Linked DNA regions of Sus scrofa. The protein of the gene in region 2 purifies or fractionates together with the protein of the main gene of each other region. This does not show direct contact. Links are inferred from orthologs where the notes say so. Each region holds a gene or a part of one and is shown on either strand. Other genes may lie near its edges.

Evidence for each region.
Region 1: the proteins of FTSJ1 (region 2) and WDR6 purify together in Homo sapiens (affinity purification with mass spectrometry; 3 studies listed by BioGRID and IntAct, with this or other methods). This does not show direct contact. The link is inferred for Sus scrofa from reciprocal best matches to the Homo sapiens genes FTSJ1 and WDR6.

The regions. Positions count from the first base shown.
Region 1 is NC_010455.5:31,646,451-31,653,015, forward strand, and holds the end of WDR6 (WD repeat-containing protein 6), read left to right. Parts: intron 1-580; coding exon 581-3,062; intron 3,063-3,165; coding exon 3,166-3,249; intron 3,250-3,338; coding exon 3,339-3,455; intron 3,456-3,548; coding exon 3,549-3,667; intron 3,668-3,758; coding exon 3,759-4,219; 3' UTR 4,220-4,573; coding exon of another isoform or gene 4,574-4,845; 3' UTR 4,846-4,917; downstream 4,918-6,565. Other genes in the region: DALRD3 (DALR anticodon-binding domain-containing protein 3), read right to left, coding at 4,633-4,845, 4,937-5,050, 5,127-5,309, 5,387-5,469, 5,579-5,640, 5,736-5,806, 6,169-6,297, 6,380-6,459 and 1 more. UniProt on the Homo sapiens protein: Together with methyltransferase FTSJ1, methylates the 2'-O-ribose of nucleotides at position 34 of the tRNA anticodon loop of substrate tRNAs. Required for the correct positioning of the substrate tRNA for methylation.
Region 2 is NC_010461.5:42,614,061-42,620,794, reverse strand, and holds the end of FTSJ1 (putative tRNA (cytidine(32)/guanosine(34)-2'-O)-methyltransferase), read right to left. Parts: intron 5,704-6,734; coding exon 5,651-5,703; intron 5,562-5,650; coding exon 5,508-5,561; intron 5,418-5,507; coding exon 5,315-5,417; intron 5,210-5,314; coding exon 5,126-5,209; intron 4,488-5,125; coding exon 4,384-4,487; intron 4,297-4,383; coding exon 4,099-4,296; exon of another isoform or gene 3,884-4,098; coding exon 3,851-3,883; 3' UTR 3,842-3,850; intron 1,211-3,841; 3' UTR 597-1,210; downstream 1-596. UniProt on the Homo sapiens protein: Methylates the 2'-O-ribose of nucleotides at positions 32 and 34 of the tRNA anticodon loop of substrate tRNAs. Requisite for faithful cytoplasmic translation.

The DNA.
Region 1 (6,565 bases), on a different chromosome or scaffold from region 2:
TCACATCTTCTGAGATACAGAGAAGCTCCTGGAAATCAGGAGTCTTTCTGCTGTGGCCTCAAAGTAGAAAGCTTGACTTGTGGGACTATCTCTTCCCTGGAGGAGGAAGGGAGTAGAAAGAATGTCTGTAGAGGTAAACGAGGCCAAGGATTTGGGGGACAAAACTGAGAGGATTCCTGTCTGAAGCATGGGAAGTTAAATGGGATGAGGAGGAGACTAAGTTTGAGGAATTCATGTTTGAACTGAATGTCATGGGTGACTGATGAGGGGATCAGAAAGTCAGGACTGGGAGTTCCCTGGTGGCTCAGTGGCTCTGGTTCCATCCCTGACCTGGACACTTCCACATACTGTAGGCAAGGCCAAAAGGAAAAAAAAAAAAAAAAAAAATTAAGTCAGGACTGAAAGTACAGCTGAAGCTGAGACCAGGATTTTCCAAGGTTCAAGTCTGCAGTTTGAGCATACTTGCAGTAACCTAATAGGTTCATAAGCTACATACTGAGAATTTTCCCTACTCCCTGTTTCTTCATGGCTCATCAGAGTTAGGCGAGGGGTTCTTATGTGGCTTTTTGCCTTTGTCTAGGTGAGGGGCCAGATGTCCTCGTGTACACCTTGGATTTTGGCGGACATCTGCGGATGATGAAACGAGTGCAGAACCTGCTTGGCCACTATCTTATCCATGGGTTCCGGGTGCGACCAGAACCCAACGGAGACCTTGACTCGGAGGCCATGGTGGCAGTGTTTGGGAGCAAGGGACTCCGAATTGTGAAAATTAGCTGGGGACAGGGCCGCTTCCGGGAGCTCTGGCGCTCTGGCTTGTGGAACTTGTCTGACTGGATCTGGGATGCACGTTGGCTCGAGGGGAACATGGCCTTGGCCCTGGGCCACAACTCAGTAGTGCTGTACGACCCTGTGGTAGGGTGCATCCTGCAGGACGTGCCCTGCACAGACAGGTGCACCCTCTCCTCAGCCTGTCTGATTGGAGACACCTGGAAGGAGCTGACCATAGTGGCGGGTGCCGTTTCCAACCAGCTCCTGGTCTGGTACCCAGCAGCCGCTCTGATAGACAACAAGCCTGTAGCCCCCGACCGACGGGTCAGTGGGCATGTGGGTGTCATCTTCAGCATGTCATACCTGGAAAGCAAGGGCTTGTTGGCCACGGCTTCAGAAGACCGAAGTGTTCGCATCTGGAAGGTGGGTGACCTGCGGGTGCCTGGGGGTCGAGTGCAGAATATTGGGCACTGCTTTGGGCACAGTGCCCGTGTTTGGCAGGTCAAGCTCCTGGAGAATTACCTTATCAGCGCAGGGGAAGACTGTGTCTGCTTGGTATGGAGCCATGAAGGCGAAATCCTCCAGGCCTTTCGGGGCCACCAGGGCCGTGGGATCCGGGCCATAGCTGCCCATGAGAGGCAGGCCTGGGTGATCACTGGGGGTGATGATTCAGGCATTCGGCTCTGGCACCTGGTAGGGCGTGGGCACCCGGGTTCGGGGGTCTCAGCTCTTTGCTTCAAGTCCCATAGCAGGCCAGGTGCCCTCAAGGCTGTGACACTGGCTGGCTCGTGGCGAGTACTGGCAGTGACTGATACAGGGGCCCTGTACCTGTATGACCTCGAGGTCAAGTGCTGGGAACAGCTGCTGGAGGACAAGCGCTTCCAGTCCTACTGCCTTCTGGAGGCAGCTCCTGGTCCTGAGGGCTTTGGACTGTGTGCTATGGCCAACGGGGAGGGTCGTGTCAAGGTTGTCCCCATCAACACTCCAACTGCAGCTGTGGATCTGACCCTATTCCAAGGGAAGGTGCACAGCCTGAGCTGGGCCCTCCGTGGCTATGAGGAGCTCCTGTTGCTGGCATCAGGCCCTGGTGGTGTAGTGGCTTGCCTAGAGATCTCTGCTGCGCCCTCTGGCAAGGCCATCTTTGTCAAGGAACGTTGCCGGTACCTGCTACCTCCGAGCAAGCAGAGATGGCACACATGCAGTGCGTTCCTACCCCCAGGCGACTTCCTGGTGTGTGGTGATCGTCGGGGCTCTGTGTTGCTGTTCCCCTCCCGACCAGATCTGCTCAAGGATCTCGGGGTTGGAGGCAAGGCTGGAGTTGGTGCTGGAGCACTTGGAGCAGGTGGTAACAATGAGGGTGGTGAGAACGCCTTGGCTGAGTGGGGCCCTGTGTCCTCCCTCCCTTCTCTGCATGGGAAGCAGGGTGTGACCTCAGTCACCTGCCATGGTGGCTACGTGTACACAACAGGGCGTGATGGTGCCTACTACCAGCTCTTTGTGCGAGGTGGCCAACTCCAGCCTGTCCTAAGGCAGAAGTCCTGTCGAGGCATGAACTGGGTGGCTGGGCTCCGTATGGTGACTGATGGGAGCATGGTCATCCTGGGTTTCCACGCCAATGAGTTTGTGGTGTGGAGCCCCCGGTCTCATGAGAAGCTGCATATCATCAACTGTGGTGGAGGGCATCGCTCCTGGGCCTTCTCTGATACCGAGTCTGCTATGGCCTTCGCCTACCTCAAGGATGGGGATGTCATGCTGTACCGAGCTTTGGGTGGCTGCACCCGGCCACATGTGATTCTCCGGGAGAGCCTGCATGGCCGTGAGATCACTTGTGTAAAGCGTGTGGGTACCATCACCCTGGGGCCTGAATTCGGGGTGCCCAGCTTCATTCAGCCTGATTATCTAGAGCCTGGAAGTGAGGGGCCTGGCCTAATTGACATCGTGATCACGTGCAGTGAAGACACTACCGTCTGTGTCCTGGCACTCCCCACAGCCACAGGCTCAGCCCATGCGCTTACAGCTGTTTGTAACCATATCTCCTCGGTACGTGCAGTGGCTGTCTGGGGCACTGGCACCCCAGGTGGCCCACAGGATCCTCAGCCTGGCCTGACTGCCCATGTGGTGTCTGCGGGGGGCCGGGCTGAGATGCACTGCTTCACCCTCATGGTCACCCCAGACCCCAGCACCCCAAGTCACCTTGCCTGTCATGTCATGCACCTTTCATCCCACCGGCTGGATGAGTATTGGGACCGGCAGCGAAATCGGCACCGGATGATCAAGGTGGATCCAGAGACAAGGTGATGTGCACTGCAGGACAGGAGCATGGGGGTGGGGCATGTGGGGCACGCCCTGTGTGACTGCTCCTAGGCTCCACCTGACTGCTGTGTGTTGTCTCTGCAGGTACATGTCTCTAGCTGTATGTGAGTTTGACCGGCCTGGCCTTGGCCCCCTTGTGGCTGCAGCCTGTAGTGATGGGGCAGTGAGGTGAGAGCATGGGATCCAGGGGACTGGGAAACAAAGAATATATAGGTGCCCAGAATGGGGTCTTAGTTGTCTCTCCCCCTCCGTCCCAGGCTCTTTCTCTTGCAGGATTCTGGACAACGGCTGCAGCTCCTGGCTGAAACCTTCCACCACAAGCGGTGTGTCCTCAAGGTCCACTCCTTCACACATGAGGCACCCAATCAGCGGCGGTAAGAAGGGCTGCATGTGGTCCTGGGTGGGTTGGGTGGATCTCACTGCTTTCCATCCCTGTCACTGACCCAGCCTCCCTTTCCGGCTGCCAGGAGGCTGTTCCTATGCAGTGCAGCCACCGACGGCAGCTTGGCCTTCTGGGATCTTACCACCGTGCTAGACCATGGCTCCACTGCCCTGGAGCCTCCAGTGGAACCTGGGCTTCCCTACCGTGAGTAGCTGGAGTGCAGCTGTGGCTGTCCCTGCTCCTTCCACTCACCTTTGTGGCAGGCTGGATCCTGACAACTATCTTCTTCCTCCAGGGCTGGGCACCCCCTGCCTGACTCTCCAGGCTCACAGCTGTGGTGTCAACAGCCTACACACCTTGCCCACACCAGCGGGCCATCTCGTGGCCAGTGGCAGTGAGGATGGCTCCCTCCATGTCTTTGTGCTTGCCGTGGAGGTACCAGAGCTGGAAGAGGCTGTGGGGGGTGCTGAGCAGCTGCCTCAGCTGCAAGTGCTGGAGGAATACTCTGTCCCCTGTGCACATGCTGCCCATGTGACAGGCCTCAAGATCTTAAGCCCAAGCCTCATGGTCTCAGCCTCCATCGACCAACGGTTGACCTTCTGGCGTCTGGGGCATGGGGAACCCACCTTTATGAACAGTACAGTGTACCATGTACCAGATGTGGCCGACATGGACTGTTGGCCTGTGAGCCCCGAGTTTGGCCATCGCTGTGCTCTTGGGGGTCAGGGTCTTGAGGTTTACAACTGGTATGACTGACATGTCCCGTGGTGGCCGGCGTGCTGGGCATGGGGCCTGCTCACAGACAGAGTGGAGCATGACCAATTGTCTGTGCCCATGCCCAGTGTGCCTAGAGGGGAGGAGGCGGCAGCCGTGGGTTCCAGACCTCAGAGCAGGAGCTGAAGGTGAGTAGAATGCTGTCAGGGCAGAGTAAGAAATGTGCCCCACTCCACACAATAGGATAAAACGTCATAACAGAAGCAATTTATTTTGGCTCCAGGTAGCTTAACAAAATCTGTGGGTGTGTTGTGTTTTTGCTTTTTTTTTTTTTTTGATACTTGTTTTTTTCAGTTGATTTTGTGGACATTCCCAGACATTGGGGCCTCTGTGGCCTTAGATGTGGCTCAGTGGAGGGAGACCCAGCATGGCCAGCCCAGTGTGGAGCACATCACTCACAGCCTGCAGAAGCTGTAGACGGGCAAACATTTGACCAAACAGGTGTGGTCGAGGCTCCTGGAGGAAAGAAAGGGCCTGCTGGTCTCATCCTTTGCTTCCCCCGCAACCCTCCCACATACCCCGCTTTGCTGTGCACTTACCCCTAGGATGTGTACCCGGTTATAGTATGAACTGAAATCCATGCTGAGCTGTACCAGGAACTTGCAAACCTAAAGACAGAGACCAAGTCACTGGCCTGTCTTTGTGCCCCTAACCAGAATAAACAGAATGTGTGGTGTGTCCTTGTCTTCTCTGCCTCACCATCTCCGTGCGTGCAGTGATGTGGAGCCCCGGGGCTGTGCAGGCCAGCATTCCTGTGTGGCTCAGCAGGTCTGGGAAGGGGAGGATGCTGTTGAAGAGCAGCAACCACTCACCCTGTGGGGGAGAAGGGTGCTGGGAGGGAAAGGCCAAGCTTCCTGCCTTGTGCTGACCACCCAGCAGGGGTACTCACCTCATCATGCAACAGGGAGAAGTCCAGACTGCTCACAGGTGGGAAAGTGGGGTACAGACCTTTTTCCACGCTGCACCTGTAACCCTCAAAGAGTGTGGCAAGACGTGCGCAGTTGTACATGACAAAGGTGCCACTTTTGGTGCCCTTTGTGGAAATGCTGTTGTCAGCCAGGGCCAGGAGAAGCTGAGGAATGAAGGCACAGCTACAGCAGGATAACTGCACACACTGTCCAGCCAGCCCTGGGGGGCACCTAGGCTCACCTGATTCTGTGGGGCTGTGCTGAGCATCTCAAACTTAATGGTTGCCACACAGAGAACCCTGAAGATTTCTGTCCAGGCTGGGTCTGAGGAAGTATGAGATCAGTCAGTCAGGCTCTAGAGGCAAGGAACAAGGGGTAGGGATGCAGGTGACCTGCCCCTACCCACAGCACAGCAAGAGGCTCCCAAACACACCTTGTGTTAGGTCCTTGCCATACTTCAGTGCTGAGGCCTTGCACACCTGCATATGCCGGAGCCTGCGTTTTTGAAAAGGGTGAGCAGAGGGCCAGTGGGCAGAGTCCTCCCACCTCAACTACCTTGGCTTGCTGGCCTGCCTTCCAGCCTCACTCACTCGTAGTACTCGGGAGCAGTCAGGGTGCCTGGCGCACCAGCTACTTTCACTGGGCCGCAGACCAGGTGCTTCTGTCAGGAAGATAGCAGGGGCTCAGCCACTTGGCAGTAAGATACTCTACAGCAAAAGACCCCTCAATGAACCTAAATATGTAGTTTCCTGAATGACCCCAGCTTTGTGCCTCAGAGCCACTGTCTCAAACTCAGCCCCTCAAGACACAATCCAGCCTCTTCAACCTATCTTCATCAATATTCTCTGGGGTAGGCCTCCAGACTGCACCTTCTCCCAGCATCTGCTGCACACAACCACTCACTCACCAAGTCTGTCATCTCCCCAAGTCAATCAAGTGTCACCTTCTGGAACCATCAACTAACAGGACCCTTTCTAGGACCTTCTAAGGTTGGTGTGGGGAGCTCCACCATAACTGACCCACCTGTCTGAGAGGAGCCTGGTCATCCAACTTCCACCAAAGCAGGTCCAACTTTTGTTGCTGGAACTCCTCCTCACAACTCACCACGTGTACAACCACACAACCATCTGCACCAGTGTCTGAGACTGCAGCCTAGAGGAAAGGACAATCACTGCTTGGGACACAGGACATTTAGTTTGCCAGAGATTCACAGGGTGGGCATTCAGTCACTAACCAGGCCTAGAGAGCTGTGTTCCGGCCAATGCTGCACAGCCTCCTGCAGCTCAGCCAGCAGAGAAAGCAGCTCCTCCGTCACTGCAAAGAACACACAGCCCTGAGTTTGGTGGGAAATGCGCGGCCCACCAGCTTACTGGCCCTGCTAGACTCTGGGTCCTACCTAGGCAGCTGTCCAGGTTGGGGT
Region 2 (6,734 bases):
ATGCCATGAGAATGGCCCAAGAAAATGGCAAAAAGACAAAAAAAGAAAAAAAAAAAAAAGAAAATGTGGTATATGCATTACGATGGAATATTATTCAGCCACAAAAAAGGAAACCCTGCCATTTGGGACTACATGGATGGACCTTGAGGGCCTTACGCTAAATGAAGTAAGTCAGAAAAACACAAACACTGTATGGGTGAAGGTGGTCAAGAGGTACAAACTTCCAGTTATAGGATGAAATGTGCAGCCCAGGGACTATACTTATCAATACCGTATGGTATATTTGAAAGTTGCTTAGAGAGTAAGCCTTTTCTTTTTTCGGCCAAACCCATGGCATATGGAAGTTCCTGGGCCAGGGATTGAATCCGAGCCACAGCTGCGACCACACAGGATCCCTAACCTTCTGCACCACAGTGGGAACTCCAAGAGAGCAAATCTTAAAAAGTTCCCATCACACACACACACACACACAAATGTAGCTGTGAGGTGATGGATGCTAACGAAACTTGTGGCAATCATTTTGTAATACACAGGTACATCATATCATGTACACTTTTAACTCACACAATCCTATGTCCATTATATCGCGAGAAAACTGGAAAATATATTATTATATTAAAATGAAACAACACTGGGATGCTGTAATATATGAACTTTTTAAAAGGAGTATATCAAATTATAAGATCTTATCTCAAAGTAGTGACCAATGTGAACAATGTTTTATAAGACACCCACAATGACTGTAACATAACGTTAAAAAGAAAAAAAAAAAAGTAACCGTGACCCATATTGGTGGGAAAGTTGCAGGCACTGCTTTCACTGTTGTGATGCGCTGCCAGCATTGAGGTTCAGGAATAGAGCTAAAATTTCTGTTCAATCAATAAAAACGTAGTTATTTCCCTGCAACAAGTTCACAGATAGCCCTGACTTCTATCAGGTTAAGAATCCCTGCTTTCAGGGTAAAGTGTGAACAGAATCAGGAGGACACCGCTGGAAAGATTTAGAGAGGAGGCAAGACCCCCCTCGGCGGCGCAGATGGACAGTCCGAGATGTTTCTTTCCTCGCTGTGTTTCTGCTGGTTGTTGCAGGTTCCTGCTCGGCGCTTGTGTGTTCAGGACCCGTTGATGAGCTACTTGAAAACAAGTTCATCAACTCAAGTTCTTGGTTTTCCTGACAGCGAAGAGCTTCCAAGTCCTTATCAGATTGCCAGCTAACGAAAGGTCAAAGTAAAAGGAAGTTTTAAAACAAAATATATTTCCCCACTGTCTTCTACTATAATCATTGTTTACTCAGCTACTGACATTTTTCGTGGAGTTTTTTTTTCCCTCTACTTTTATTGTGAACCATAACATGCGCACACAAAAAGGCATAAAACATATCTTGGGATGTCTAGTTCTCAACTGTGAATATACCAGGATTTAATGATCCCTTCTACAGCTGATGGATGTCAGGGCTGTATCTAGTTTGGGGGTGCTGCAATAATGCTGGCTAAGAACATTCTAGTATGGCATATGGAGAGTCCCAGGCTAGGGGCTGAACCGGAGCTACAGCTGCTGGCCTACGCTGCAGCCCTGAGGATCCAAGCCGCGTCTGCAACCTACCCCACAGCTCACGGTAACGCCGGATCGTTAACCCACTGAGCGAGGCCAGGGATCGAGTCTCAACCTCATGGATCCTAATCAGGTTTGTTAACCACTGAGCCACGAAGGGAACTCCTTAGTACTCATTTCTTAGAGGAACTGGCACACATGCAGCTTTAGCAGAAAATGCCTAACAAATTTCCAGTGGAAAATTGGCAACACCATTTTATGCTGCCATTGGAGTATATGTTAGGGTTCCAACTGCTGCATGACCTTCTAGATACTTAGAATGGTCAATCTTTTTAGTTTTAGCTTATATTTCTCTGATGAGCAGCTTTTCAAGTGCTTACTGGCCATATTGTCATATTTACTTTCCCTTATCGATTTGTAACTTTTTTTTTTAGGGCTGCACCTGCAATATACATTCCCAGACTAGGGGGTTGAATTGGAGCCCCAGCTGCTGGCATACACCACAGCCACGTTTGTGATCTACACAGCAGTGCACGGCAACCTCGGGTCCTTGACCCACTGAGTGGGGCCAGGGATTGAACCCACGTCCTCATGGATGCTAGTTGGGTTTGTTACTGCTGAGACACAATGGGAACTCCTACAGAAGCTTTTTTAACATCAAGGACACTGTATATAGGGATTGTAAATATCTTTTCCCGGGAGTTCCTGTTGTGGCTCAGCGGGTTAAGAAACCTAGTATCCACGAGGACGCAGGTTCGATCCCTGGTCTCTCTCCGTGGGTCGGGGATCTGGCATTGCCACGAGCTGTGGTGTAGCTGGGAGACGCAGTATGGATCGCGAGTTGCTATGGCTGTGGTGTAGGCTGGCAGCTGCAGCTATGATTCGACCCTGGGAACCTCTATATGCCTGGGAACCTCTATATGCCGCAGTGTGGCCATAAGAAAAGAAAATCTCTTCCCACCGTCGGTTGCCATTTCGTTTTTTTAAAGGTGTCTTTTTTTTTTTTTTTTTACTTATTTTAATGGAAGACTGCAGAGCCACTGCCAGAAAGGACGGCCTCTAACACAGTGTCCTGAGGATGATAGGCCCCCACATACAAGGCACAGTTCCGCCCCAGGGCCTTTGTATTTGCTAGTGCCTCTCCCTGGAATGCTCTTCCCCTAAACACACGGACTCCCTCCCTCGTCTCCTTCAGGTCTCTGCTCAAACAGTACCTCATGAGCCCTTCCAGGACAACTCACTTAAAAACTGCAAACTGCCAGAGTTCCCTTCATGGCTCAGCAGTTAATGAATCCAACTAGGATCCACGAGGATGCAGGTTCGATCCCTGGCCTCACTCAGTGGGTTAAGGCGTTCCCTTTGTGGCTCTGTGGTTAACAAACCTGACTAGGGTCCATGAGGATGCGAATTCAATCCCTGGCTTCCCTCAGTGGGTTAAGGATCTGGCGTTGCTGTGGCTGTGGTGTAGGCTAGTAGCTACAGCTCTGATTCAACCCTAGCCTGGGAACCTCCATATGCCACGCGTGCGGACCCTTAAAAAAAAACAACATGCAAACCGCCACCCTCTTTGATGAAGAGTTCTTCATCTCATTATCCTGCTCCTTCTTTTGCTAACCAATAGTATTTTTACACACTATACACACACACACGTGTTCAGACAGATAGTATTTCTAAGTGTGGGTGGAAGCCCCTGCATTCATGGTGTTACTCTTTTATTTATTTTTGTCTTTTTTGCCTTTTCTAGGGCCGCACCCGTGGCACATGGAGGTTCCCAGGCTAGGGGTTGAATCTGAGCTGTAGCTGCCGGCCTACACCACAGCCACAGCAACACCAGATCTGAGCCGCCCCTGTGACCTCCACCACAGCTCACGGCAACACCAGATCCTTAACCCACTGAGCAAGGCCAGGGATCAAACCCGCAATCTCTTGGTTCTTAGTCGAATTCATTAACCACTGAGCCACAACGGGAACTGCCACACTGTGTTACTCTTTACCTCCTTCCCTAACTAGAAGCTCTGAGGGCCGGGATGTTTGCCTGTTTTGTTCCCGCTCTATCTTCAAACTTTGAACAATGCCCAGCGCACAGCATGTGCTCAAGAAACGCTGACTGAGCGCCTCGATGTGTCAGATGCTGAAAGCAATTCCTAGCCCATGACATCGAGTGTTGTAGGAAAGGTTTGCTGGCCGAAATCCTATCAGTTGGCATAAAAATTTCAAAGGTAAAAATCTTCCTTGGTTTTTTTCTTAAAGGTGCCCGCTACTCCAACTCTCAGATAAAAAGGCAAGTTTACCTTAACGTGTCAAGGCGAACAATTCATTTCACTGTCTTCCACCTACCCAAGAAAAAGAAAAGGGACTCAGATACTTGGCTAAGCTCTTCTGTTCACTATGCCTGCTTTTACCCACTGATTTTTACGGTCATTGGGAGGCAGGGAAGAGAATTTTGCCCCAGAAACCAGTGATTTGGGGCAGAAAGAGGCACATGAGGAGGGGGTCGCTGTGGGTGCAGAGAAAAGGCACGGAGGGCCCTGGGACCGGGTCTCCAGACCTCAGAGGCCAGCAGGGTGTGGCACTGTGGGGCAGCCAGGGACTGGGGCAACACGGCCGCTGTGCTGACGGAGCAGTCCTGCGGGCGGGTCTCCTTGGCTAGCTGCCCCTTCTTCTTCAATGTGCAGGCCTCCTGGTACGGTGGTGAGATGGGGGGCTGCGTGGGTGGGGTGTACTTGTACTCTGAGCCGTCCTCTAGCTGCAAGGACACAAGTCCCGGAGATGGTGAGGACCTGGGAAACTAGGACAGCGCCCTCCAACCGCCCACCGCTGGCCAGGCACTTACGTCCAGTGGGTAGCTGCGGTCCGAATCATAGGCGCTCAGGTCCCCGCAGGTCACAAATGGCACAATGGTGCGGGTAGGCCCATCCAATTGGTTGAAATCTGGATCTGACCAACAGGGAGAGATGAGACAGGATGGGGCTGGGGTGTCTGGGACTGGTCGTGACTCAAGCGGTAGCCAGGATGAGTTACTGAGACCTCTCCCACGTGTCCACCAGCTGCTCTTACACGCCTTCACCAGAAACCCTTCATTTGGTTCTGATCACCTCCTCAGGGAAGCCCTCCAATCATGTGGAAACAGCACCCTCTCCAGCTCATTTTTCTCCCGCTGCACTTAATTCCATACCATGCGCTGCCTGGACTTCGTCTCACTCAAGGGCACTTGTCACGAGAGCAGCTCTGTGCCTTTTCCCTCTGGGGGCCAGGCTGAAGGCCCTCATGGGACAAAATTCCCACACTTGGGGGTGTGACCGAGTCTTCCTGGGCTAGAGAGTCTTCCTGGGCTAGAATCGCCTTAGCTGGGTGGAGTCTCCAGTGGGGCAGGACTCAGGATCCTCCCGGGACAGAATTCTCACCAGGTCCGAGAGTTCCCACGAGCGGACTGGGCTTGAGGATCCTCTTGGGACAGAATTCCCCCGAGGGGCAGGGTTTCCACCAGGGGGTGGGGCTAAGGGCCCTCCTGGGACATAAATTCCCTAAGGGCACAGACTCTCCCCAGGGATGAGGCCCAGGGCTCTGGCTCTCACCGTAAGAGTGGTCCAGCAGGGGTTTGGTCAGGTCTGGCAGGAAACCCGCAGGGGGGTCATAACCCTTACAGACAGCGAAAGCCTCTGTGGGGAGAAGGTGGAGTGAGGGGCCCCTGCCACCTCCAGCCGGTGTGGGATGCGTCCCCGAGTGTCACACCTCCCCCCACCCGGTCCCTCCACCCCACTGACCGATGCTGGAGTTCCGGCTGCTCCTGGGCTTGGCACAGAGCACGCTGGAGAAGAAGACACGCAGCTGGCTGTAGATCAGCGTCACATCCCGGCCTCGGAAGATCTGCGGGATGGGGAGGCAGGCAGAGATGGAGGCACGAGGGTGGTCTTCGGGGACCCCTCTCTATCCCCTACCAGGTTCCCTGAGGCTTACCTTGGCCACAAAGCAGCCCCCTGGCTTCAAGACGTGTGTGGCGATGTTCAGAGCCTGTGGGCAGGACAGGTGGCTAAGGCTGAGGTGGAGCCAGCCAGCCAGGAGGGGGCCAGACTGAGGCAGGGGCAGCCAGGGTTACTCACGGCTAGGAGGAGCTGGGCCTGCATATACTCATCAACATCGTGGAGGCCGGTTACTGGGGCAAGAGGAACAGTGTTAAGCGGGGGGCGTCCAGGTCTATCTTCCTGTCCCAGGGGTTAGAGCCCTAAAAACGCTTCCCAGGCCCTCTTATTGCTAAGGTTCTGCATGCAGGTGACTGTCTGCCAACTAGATGCATATGCTGAGCTCCTAACCTTCGGGCACTTGTTTTCATTCTCTCTCTTTTTGTCCGTTTAGGGCCACGCCCCTGGCACATGGAGGTTCCCAGGAGAGGGGGCCAAACTGGAGCTGTAGCTGCCAGCCTACACCACCACTCACGGCAATGCCGGATCCTTAACCCACGGAGCGAGGCCAGGGATTGAACCCTCATCCTCATGGATATGAGTCGGGTTTGTTAACCACCGAGCCACGACAGGAACTCCTTGTTTTCTTTCTCAAAACAACCTTAGGCACGAGTATCGTCATCATCATTTCTCCCTCCCGTCCAGACTGTTCCTCTTAACTTCAGACTCAGATCAGAACCAACATCTCAAAGTCGACACATCCAAAACCAAACTCCCGACCTTCCTGCCCAAAGCTGCTCCTCCCACCGTCTTCCCTGTCTCATCGGATCCTTGCGGTTGTCCAAGCCAAAACCGCTGAGTTACCTTTGACAGACAAAATACACACTGCCTCCTCCATGCTCTCCTCACAGCCACATACCAGTCACTAGCAAATCTCCTCAGCTCTACATTCTTTCTTTCTTTTTGGCCGCACCTATGCCTACAGCATGTAGGATACTCCTAGGCCAGGGACTGAACCCGTGCCACAGCGGTGGCCTGAGCTGCTGCGGTGACACCACCAGATCCTTAACCTACTGAGTTACAAGGGAACTCCTCACCTCTACTTTCCAAAGATCCCCTGGATCGACCCTCTACTCATCTCTCCCACTGTCACCACTCACCTGGACTACCGCAGCGGCCTCCCCCGCTCCAGGTCTCACCCCTCACCCTGCTCACAGCAGCCCGAAGGATCGTGTCACAACCCAGAAGTCAGGCACGGCCCTCCTCTGCTCACAACCCTGCTCTC